3 linked regions of the Saccharomyces cerevisiae S288C genome follow. The gene in region 1 interacts genetically with each later gene. Each region holds a gene or a part of one and is shown in the gene's direction. Other genes may lie near its edges.

Evidence for each region. A genetic interaction does not mean that the proteins touch.
Region 2: mutations in TPT1 (region 1) and GAB1 together harm fitness more than expected from each alone (negative genetic interaction), as found in Saccharomyces cerevisiae (2 studies listed by BioGRID).
Region 3: mutations in TPT1 (region 1) and SEC59 together harm fitness more than expected from each alone (negative genetic interaction), as found in Saccharomyces cerevisiae (2 studies listed by BioGRID).

The regions. Positions count from the first base shown.
Region 1 is NC_001147.6:125,425-128,351, reverse strand, and holds TPT1 (tRNA 2'-phosphotransferase), read left to right. Parts: upstream 1-1,662; coding exon 1,663-2,355; downstream 2,356-2,927. Other genes in the region: IZH4 (Izh4p), read left to right, coding at 432-1,370; myo-inositol transporter ITR2, read right to left, coding at 2,522-2,927. UniProt on the Saccharomyces cerevisiae protein: Catalyzes the last step of tRNA splicing, the transfer of the splice junction 2'-phosphate from ligated tRNA to NAD to produce ADP-ribose 1''-2'' cyclic phosphate.
Region 2 is NC_001144.5:1,055,639-1,059,090, forward strand, and holds GAB1 (GPI-anchor transamidase subunit GAB1), read left to right. Parts: upstream 1-1,695; coding exon 1,696-2,880; downstream 2,881-3,452. Other genes in the region: YLR456W (pyridoxal 5'-phosphate synthase), read left to right, coding at 1-46; NBP1 (Nbp1p), read right to left, coding at 174-1,133. UniProt on the Saccharomyces cerevisiae protein: Component of the GPI transamidase complex. May be involved in the recognition of either the GPI attachment signal or the lipid portion of GPI.
Region 3 is NC_001145.3:294,607-298,544, reverse strand, and holds SEC59 (dolichol kinase), read left to right. Parts: upstream 1-1,806; coding exon 1,807-3,366; downstream 3,367-3,938. Other genes in the region: translation initiation factor 3 subunit CLU1, read right to left, coding at 3,578-3,938. UniProt on the Saccharomyces cerevisiae protein: Catalyzes CTP-mediated phosphorylation of dolichol, the terminal step in de novo dolichyl monophosphate (Dol-P) biosynthesis. Dol-P is a lipid carrier essential for the synthesis of N-linked and O-linked oligosaccharides and for GPI anchors.

The DNA.
Region 1 (2,927 bases):
AGTTTACATAAAATAGACATATTCACGTGTATGCAAGGGCACATAAAAGCAAAGGCTGACATTGAAACATAGCAAGCCAAGAGATAGAAAAGGAGGATACGGGGTGAACAGCCGGTCTATTCTTATATATACTTCAAAGAAGCGATAGTTCTGTCCGTATAAAAACTCGGACAATTCGGACAGCACTCCGCGAGAAAAGGGCTCGTTGGGCAGCTCAACATTATTCAACGCAAGCCTGTTGAGCTCAATTGGTTTTAATTGTAAATACTCAATGGTGTCAACAGCTAAATGATTTACACTCATATATATGGTCCGGATATATGGACGCAGAAGTAAAATAAAAATGAAAAAAAGTAGAAAAGGAAATTAATTTCTTAAAGTTCTTGTCAGCGCATATAATATTGGTATAAAGGTACATATATATTGACAGTATGGTTTCATTGACTACAATAGAGCAAAGCCCAGTCAAATGCGAGACAACCACTGAGAAAGAGAGCAATGATACTAGGGGGACAGATTCGAACGAGAATGCAGAGACAAAAGAAACAAAGAAGGGTTTTCCATTCCATGACTTGGCAAAATTGCAGAAACAGTACAAAAATAAATCCAGTAGGAACGAGTCACTAGTAGCACTAATATATCTCTTGGGTTCGATGCTGTCATTTTGTCTCCTAATATTTTTCACGGACTTTTATTTGATACCTTTGTTCCCCACCACCACTACAATGACAGACTACATTGTATTCAATTTTTATTTATTGAACGTTTTTGTATTTTGTATGGTGCATTTCATTTATCACTTCGTCAAAAATATTTCTCTACAACAACATCTCGAACATTGGCAGAAGTTTTCGTATTTATCGAATATCAACTTATTGATATCATCACAAATCACAATTCTTTATTATCTATTCTATGATTACGTGTTTTTCTTCAAAATTTTTACCCTTTTAATGAACTTCATAGGATTAGTGGCATACTTTTTTATATTGACGGACAAACTCATTTCCTCGAAAAGATTCAATAAAACAGTTTTCTTCATTTCGGTATCAGTAGTGTGTTGTTCCTTGCCACTATTAACCGCAATAATCACCTTTGATGGTTTAGAAAACCTGAAAGAGAGGATAAAAGTGAACGCAATTACGTGGGAACTTGTGGCTTTGGTAGCGGCATCTATAATTTACGTTACCAGGTTCCCTGAATCATTGTTCAGACGAAATAAAAAGGAAGAAGGTTGGAATCATTCCGAGTACCTTTTCCATCTCTTGATTTCTGGTACGGCTTTTTACCATTTTTTCATTTTGATTCAATCTTATATTTTGATGCATTCAAGTTTGAATCAGCCCGAATTAATTAATTTCAAGTCTTAGACTCAGCTGGTGCTCACATAATAAATAATTGAATAAATAAGGCAAATTAAATAAAAAAATAATTCAAGAATGGGAAGTGTATCTCCTTTAAAGATACTTACACGAGTTGAATTAAGCTTCATGTTTTGACTTTAATGTCTTCTGCGGTTCTTGTCCGTATTTCTGTCTTCGTGATGTATTTGTTCTTTTTTACTGACACCGTGACGCGAGGAAAGCTCATCAAAATAATGGCAAAATGCATAATACATTATTACAGAATTGAGCAGAATGACTGGGAAAGGTGGACTTGACAATGCGCCAGGTACTACAAAAAGATAAAAGGGATGTACAGCTTTCCAAAGCTTTATCATATCTGCTTCGACATACAGCGGTGAAAGAAAAGTTGACTATTGACTCAAACGGTTATACACCGCTGAAAGAACTATTGTCTCATAATAGATTGAAAACTCATAAATGTACGGTGGATGATATCCATCGCATTGTTAAGGAAAATGACAAACAACGCTTTCATATAAAAACGTTAGGAGCGGACGAAGAATGGATCTGTGCTACTCAGGGACATTCAATCAAATCGATTCAGCCATCAGATGAGGTTCTCGTACCAATTACTGAAGCGTCGCAGTTACCACAGGAACTAATTCATGGAACAAATCTTCAATCTGTCATAAAGATTATTGAATCCGGAGCAATATCACCAATGAGTAGAAATCATGTCCATTTATCGCCGGGGATGTTGCACGCGAAGGGAGTTATTAGTGGAATGCGTTCTTCAAGTAACGTCTATATTTTCATCGACTGCCATTCTCCATTATTCTTTCAAACTTTGAAAATGTTCAGGTCGCTCAATAATGTTTACTTAAGCAGCAGTATTCCCGTTGAATTGATCCAAAAAGTTGTAGTTAAAGGAAACTTGAAAGATGAGGAGAAGTTAGATACTTTAAGAAGAATTTTACACGAAAGAAACATACCGCTCGAAAAGATATAACTTTCATCAAGCTCAACTTTTATGAATTTTTATTTTTAAATACTTCGCTCTTACTTATATATTTAAATAAAAACTTTTAAGATTAGATGAAATGAATTGTCTCCCTTTTATAGCTTTCTTCCTTCTTTTTTGTTCTTTATCTTTTATTTTTTGTTGGTGTAGCAGTCTAACTTTCTACAATTTCCTGTGTAGGTTCGAATTTGAGTTTATGATGGGCAGCACCTTCGGCCACCTGTTGTTTCCTCTTTTTAGCTAGAGCTTTAGAGGCTTTGATATTGAATCCGTCCTTTAAAATTGTTTGAACTTCCTCTAACTCCAATCCTGATAGTTCTGGATAACAAAAGTAACAAAAAATGGTTGATAAACATGCTACACCGGCAAAGAATGAAAATGTACCCGTTGGTGTAATATTTTGTAACATAGTCAAGAACGTAGACGCAATGACTAAAGAACCTGCCCAATTGGTGGCAGTAGCGTAGGATGTCCCTACACCTCTGACGTTTTGTGGAAATAATTCCGATTGTTGCCATGGAACAGTGCCGATACCGAGGGCATAAAAGGCTGCATACACA
Region 2 (3,452 bases), on another chromosome or scaffold:
GGAAAATAATACTTCTACATACGGCCAAACAGTACAACCAGTTTAACGGAAATATGATGAAAACTATGTGTACTCTAATTATTATATAAAGCATCTATAAAATGAATCATGAGGATTAGGCCGTGATCTTCGCGCTCCATATATGGAGAATACTTTTAATTTCACAGGAGAAATTAAGATAAATAACTTGAAAAGTCCACTGAGATTGGTGAAAGTGTTTCATCCTCTTTTTCAGTTTCCCTTGAACGATAGGGTGGAGTGGGACAGGCGGGAGATATGTTTTCCTGTAACGGCTGCATCTCTGGTATATTTCCATCCCGATTATATGTTTTCATGGGGCTGGAAGTGAATAATGAATTCGTTCTTCTTATTGGAGACGGGGAAAGATCAATTTTCAAGGGCTTAATCTCATCGTTTTCTCTAGCTAGATTAGACATGGTTCTCCTAGATTTGGTGTATGATGGATGAATGTTTGAAGAATCTAGTAAATCCTCCAAAATCCTGTACTTCTCATTTGAGTAATTCAATGCTTCTTGTAATGATTGTAGCTTGCTTTCCAAGGCTTTTATTTTCTCATCTCTTTTCTTAATTTGCCGCTGTAGAAGAATTTCTCTATCTAAGTATAATGATTGATTTCTATCTTTTCCACTCGACCCGTCAGAACTACCACTTCTTAGTTCACTGATCCGTTGCTTATTGTATTTCAACTCCGATATCTTTCTCTTAAAGGCATCACTCCTTAGGATCCTAGATTTGGCTGTATCTGTGTCCATATAAGAAGGTCTTCCCTGGGATCTCTTCTTCAAAATTCTAGTCATGTCGCCACAAACATTTTGCATCTTGCTCATATTTTCATTATCATTGGAAAAAACATCTCTGATTGTCTGGAATATCTTTGTTAACCTTCGTTTGGGTGTTTTCCTCCTGTTAGTACGAATTTTTTCTTCAGTTTTCCTATCTGTCACCTTTCTAGGTCTTTTTAGAACGCTTTTACCCGTAGGACGCATCTGCTTTCTTCTGCTCCTTAAGGCAGATCGTTTTCTCACTTCATCAAGGGACCCGTATTCTCGTTTCCTGCCATCATCTCGTATTCCAAAAAAATCTTTCCACAGTCCCTGTACGGATTTTAGCATATTACCAATGTCTATTATTGTACCTTTCTCTTCAGAGTATCTACTTGTTCATGTTCAGCAATAATTTCATAATTGTTGATGCGCGCATCGTTTCTATACTATGACGCGTCACGAATTGTGCTAGAGTGGCCTCTAATGAAAGTATAAGAGGCGTTGGCGAAGGTCAAGGATAGACCATTGGCTGTTTCGGATGAGTTATTTTTAAAGTGTAAAGGTATAACATCAAATGAATGAAAATTAACATTGATCTCAGCTCTCAATTTCTTTCCTCATTTGTTTTCGATGTTTCTATATGAGTATACATTAAACAAGTAAATCTCAAGCTCTTGTCAAAACAGTTATTTCCAACATATCTATCTGCATTATTGGTAGCATAATTCTCAAAGGAAGCTAAAACATCCTTCTTAAAGACGTCTATTGGCAAACGATATGTTACGTATTCCGGGTAAAACAAATATTCCATTAAGTGAAATGACCTTTGTTTTCAAAACTAACCAGTTTTAGAACAGTAATTCATATAAACAACGTGATCTTATATGAAAAACTCACCAAAAGGAGACCAATGGATTCCACAGCACTTAAGGTAGCTCTAGGCTGTATTGCAATTCGTTTGGCTGTGAACAGCCTTTTTCCCTCTCTACAACAACAACTGGACCAGTCTGTAGAATTCTCAACTCCCGTAACTTCATTTAGGTCACTACAGGAAGGTATATACCTACTGCGGAACAACATCCAAGTATATAATCATGGGGTTGTTCACCATCCTCCAATTTTGATTTTTTTTCTTTCCCTCTTTAATTCCGACAGGTTAATTTCCCTCATATACGCTTTAATTGATGGATTAATTGCGTATCAGCTGACAGAGGTAACAAAGGCTTTCAAAAACTTGAAACTGAAAGTTTGGCTACCTGGACTTCTTTATGCCGTGAATCCTTTGACCCTTTTATCGTGCATTAGTCGGTCATCAATCATATTCACAAATTTTGCTATTTCATCGTCATTGTATTGCATATTAGCTGAAGGAAACGTTCTTTTGTCCTCTGTTATGATTTCTATATCTGGATATTTGTCAGTATACCCTATTCTCCTCTTAATTCCGCTATTAGGTATGCTGAAAAGTTGGAGGCAAAGAATATTATCTGCCATTGTTTCCATACTATCTTTATTAATTCTGCTATTATTCAGCTACAGTATATTAGGCAGCCAAAGTTGGTCATTTTTGACACAGGTTTATGGATCTATTATAACCTTTGAGAAGGTTTTTCCAAATCTGGGTTTGTGGTGGTACTTCTTCATTGAAATGTTTGACACCTTCATACCGTTCTTCAAGGCTGTATTCAACATTTTTATTGCAGTATTCATTACACCATTTACTTTGCGCTATCATAAGCAGCCATTCTACGCATTCATTTTATGCATTGGGTGGATTGTCCTTACAAAGCCATATCCCTCACTAGGTGACGCTGGTTTTTTCTTCAGCTTCCTACCTTTCTTCACGCCACTATTTGGATATTTAAGATACCCCATCATATCAGCATTACTGTTTTTACACGCAATTGTTTTGGCGCCAATTTTCTATCATCTTTGGGTTGTTTTAGGTTCAGGGAATAGTAATTTTTTCTATGCTATTTCCCTAGTTTATGCTCTGGCTATAGCATCTATATTAGTTGACTTGAACTGGGCGATGCTGAGAATTGAATACGATAACGGTATCCCAAATTTCAAATTGAAGGTAACACAAATTTAACTACTTCCCGTCTATAAACGTACATAAACTAGAATAAAAAGAACCATACAGATGTTCATCGTAAGAGTGGATAAAGCGAATATGAGAGCCATATTGGTTATTCCAGAGGCTATCTATTTTTTAAGAGAAACTGCTTGGTTAAAATTTGCATAATATTGTCTCGGAGAGAAAAGATAGAACTCAGAAGGACCTAATTAATCATGAGCGTTATAATACGAAGAATTGAGATAGAGTGTATGATCTGCGGATTAAGCTCCTACATAATAACAACATTGTACTTGGGACTATGCCAATTTCTTTCCCACCAAAAGTCGTATGAAAAAGGTTATCTTCGCTAGGGCTTCCATTAGGTGAAAGCCAATATATTATCATAGAATAGCACGGCATAAATATATATTTTGTGCTGTCTTTTTGGGAAGGGTAGTTTGACAACCCATGTACATTAACATAAAAAGAGCTTTATCATTAACGGACGAAGAAAGAATGTGTATCGCGTATTTTTAGACTATCGATAATCTTTTTTAAAGTTATGGTAGATAGAAGATGGAATCAGTTACGAAGTGATGAGTTCC
Region 3 (3,938 bases), on another chromosome or scaffold:
TAATTAACGCAAGAGAAAATTTACTCAAGTTAATATATTTGAACTCAAATATATTGAAGAGATTAGAGTCGTCCAAATAGTCAGCATTACAATGGTTCGCTTGACCCAATTTCTAAATTTGCTAAAAATATTAAAGCTCAGTACCACGCCCTGTCACAGGCGAAATATCATCAAAGTTAATCGATAAACATTCGAAAAACGCAGTTGACCGTCGTGAAATGTGGAAATCATCATAAACAATTTTTGAAATTGGAGAAAAGTTAAAAACCTTGAAACAGTTTGTACGATCTCTCATCTCTCTCAGATAAATTTTCTAGTTTAAATTGCATCAGACACTAATTGCTCTTTTCAATCATGAAGATCAGACATATGCTTGTCTATTTGAGTAATTTGTTTCATCTTCTGCAGCATTGACGTCTCTAAGGTAGAAATTTTCTTTAAAAAACATGGAAGCAATACAGACACATCAACTGATGAACTAGTTATCTGTCGATTTTTTTCTATTTCCAAATTCTTTGCTAATCGAAAAGAATAATGTAAACAGCTTCAGAAAGGCATGAATGGTAATTTTAATAGTTGTGTCTTCACGAATGATCAGACTCGTCATCTATAAATATCTCATCATAAAAACCAATTCACATAATTATACGAAAATGAGAAAAAAATCCATTCTTCCCTATAGAAAATTCTGTTAGCCCTCAGAAAAACTTACAATGGATCAGTTGCGCGGGTTTTCTAGGCCCGCTAAAGCATTGTCACTCATTTGAAAGGATATTTGTTTCCCCCTCAGTGCCCAGTGCTGTGGATCCTCATTTCCATTGTATCAAATAGATCGAAAACATCAATCTACGGAAGAATAGCACTAAAAAACTACTGTTTTCTAAGCTTAAATGTATTCTTCCAATTTATGGAAATGTGTCAACTTTCTAGTATTTATTTTAAAGGTGTTTGCTAGGTCAGGATAGTGCAAAAACGTATCAACATATACTCGTTCAGCCAGTAATTCCAGCTTTTGTTTTTGTTATAATCATCATATGAACAAACACCTTTGAATAAATATGGAATAAAAAGAAAATTGAAATGGGTGTGGTAAATGAAAGGAGAGCAGAGAAATTGAAGAAATACTACTGTATTTCTATTTAGACTTTTCCTTTCAGTTTTTTCTTCTTTATTGCTAATTAAAAACCTCAGAAATAAGAATAAACGTTCTAATCACAAAAGATTCAGAAACTCTAGTTTGTAAAAATTTATTTTGGTCATCAAGGGAATAATTAGCCTGTGATAATGACAAAAGACATATCTGAAAAACTAACTTTGATAAAGAAGAAAAAAAGAACACGGAAAAAAACGTTTTATGGATTCAATTTCTCTCTCAGCCTTTCATAGCTCCCACTCATCTGAATATTTCTTTTGTATTGATCTTTGTGATGGAAATCATAGGATTCTAATATTGTAACTTATTAAAGAGAGGAAGCATTAATTGCCAATAACCATTTCTGCGTCTCTTATTTATACCCGAAGTAATCCTAGAAGAAAAAAAAATTTTCAGAAATGAAAAAAGTTCTAGATGTATGGGTGTGCGGGTAATGCTAAGATACGTTATTGAGGGCTGTCCGCAATGGTTGGGTTTTCAGGCACGTAATTTTCAAAAGAGTTGTACACGTTGTTAGTCAAGATGGTGAAAATGGTATCGAAGGACGTATTCTATGAAAGATAGAGTTTGTAGTAAGCCAAATATTAGAATTTAGCTAGTAAATCAGACTCCTTTCGAGGCAATAAACTGTCGTTATTCTGTTCATTGCCTATATGGTCGCTATAATACCTCATGCTTCCTTTACCACAATTAAACTAACCCAGAAAACTGAGGGAAGCCAAATGCCAACTGAGGAGATCTGCAAAATCAATATGAGGACTCGTAAATTTGATGTGGGCGGGAATTCTCGAGATTTTGAGTGCTTTTATTCGAATTTTGTTCAAACTGTTATATTGTTGGGCACTTTTTTTTACTGTGTTGAAAGGCTTCAGCCGTGGTCCATTGTTACCGCTGATATATCTTATAAACAAATCTTTGTAAATGTCTTTGTGGTGTGTTTGATAATGGTTGGTCTGATATTCACAAAATATTGGCAACATGGTTACAAAAGCCTACCCAAGTTCGATACCATTTACAGTTTATATTTACCGTTTATGGTTTCGTTGTTGTTCGATACATCATCTACGGTGATAAATACTATTTTGATCCTTTCGGTATTAAATTCATATAGATGGCGAACTCAGTTGGTAGTGATCATTTTACAGCTCTGCCTCATATTTTTTAATTTTGAGGCTGGTGACAGGTTAAAGAATATTATTAGCATAGTAATAAATTCTTTACTGTCGTTAATTTTGAAGTATATTGGGCAATTGAAAAGTTTAGATAATATCGACTCTAATCTTTTTAGTATCCTATTAACCAATATTCTGTACGTTTCAGAGGCTGGCACAGTACATTTTAGAATTTTGAAGGGCATTATCCTTGCTCTCACAACAATAATTTCAATTAACTATGTGCTCAAAAAGGTAATGCACTTTAAACCGTTTATGCTGTCAATATCCTTTGCCATCGGGCTTCCACTTTTTGCCAATACCTTCATTCATTTAGAAGACGGTGAAAATCCGCTACTTTGGCTGGTAAAATATATCTTAGAGTCTACTATTCGTCAAAAGATTTTGTTTGCTTGGTCTTCAATTCTTATACTGTCCATACCAAGTATATTGATCGAGAAGGACAGTCTATCGTTGAACACCTCCCGAAAATTGTGGCATTTCATCATTTTCTTACTCATAATACCGTCATTCCAAATGGATTCAAACTTTGTGAAAATTGCATTGTCCGGAACAATACCAGTCTTCTTATCAATTGAGTACATAAGATTTCAAAACCTACCGCCGTTAGGATCTGCTATTGAATTACAACTAAGAAGGTTTGCTGATGATAGGGACCACAGCGGGCCATTGATCATATCATACCTTTATTTACTCTTCGGAATATCAACACCTTTATTAATGAATAACTCTCCAATGGGTCTAATAGGATTGGGAATTGGTGATTCCTTAGCATCTATTATTGGTAAAAGGTATGGCCGCATTCGTTGGAAAGGTACACAAAAAACTTTAGAGGGAACTCTTGCGTTTATAGTAACGAGTTTTATCGTTTGTTTGGTATTGTTACGTTTTGATAAAGCTGCAATTTTTAACCACCTAACTACTTTACAATTGCTTACCCTTTGTACACTGAGTGGAGTGCTAGAAGGTAATAGTGTGCTTAATGACAATATTTTGATACCTGCATTTATGATGATTTGTGAAAAATTAATTACTCTTTGACAAAGTCAATTATTTTCAACTTTTAAAATTACATAACTAATTGTTTGCATTTATGAATAGAATAAAGAAAAGAATAGAGCAGTAAAGAAAAAAAAATAATTGTAAGTATTTTTTTTTCGTTTTATATCTAGTACTTACACGTAGTATATACAAGTATGGGCTATAGATATAAAGAAAAATAATAAATAAACGAGATTGTTAAGTTAGCTCTCTATTTCTTACCATGCTTCTTTTTATTGTTGGTTTTGTTTTTGCTCTTAGAGTTGGAAGAATCGCCTTCTATAAATGTTAACAACTCATCCACACTTTTGTTAGCCAATTCAGGTTTAACGTCATCCTTCTTTTGACGGTGATTGGTTTTTTTATGGCCAGCTGAATTTGATCCCGTTGTCGACATTTGATCTTGTGCAAGTTGCTTCTTTTGTTTTAAATCCATTATTAATGAGCTTAAACCATTAACCCACTGTCTTGATTGGGCTGAGTGCGTGTGATTCATACCCAATTGCTTGGTGAAAATCCCTTGGGTTACAGTGATGTGCTCTAATGCACGGTGGAAATCCTTCAATGCTGCA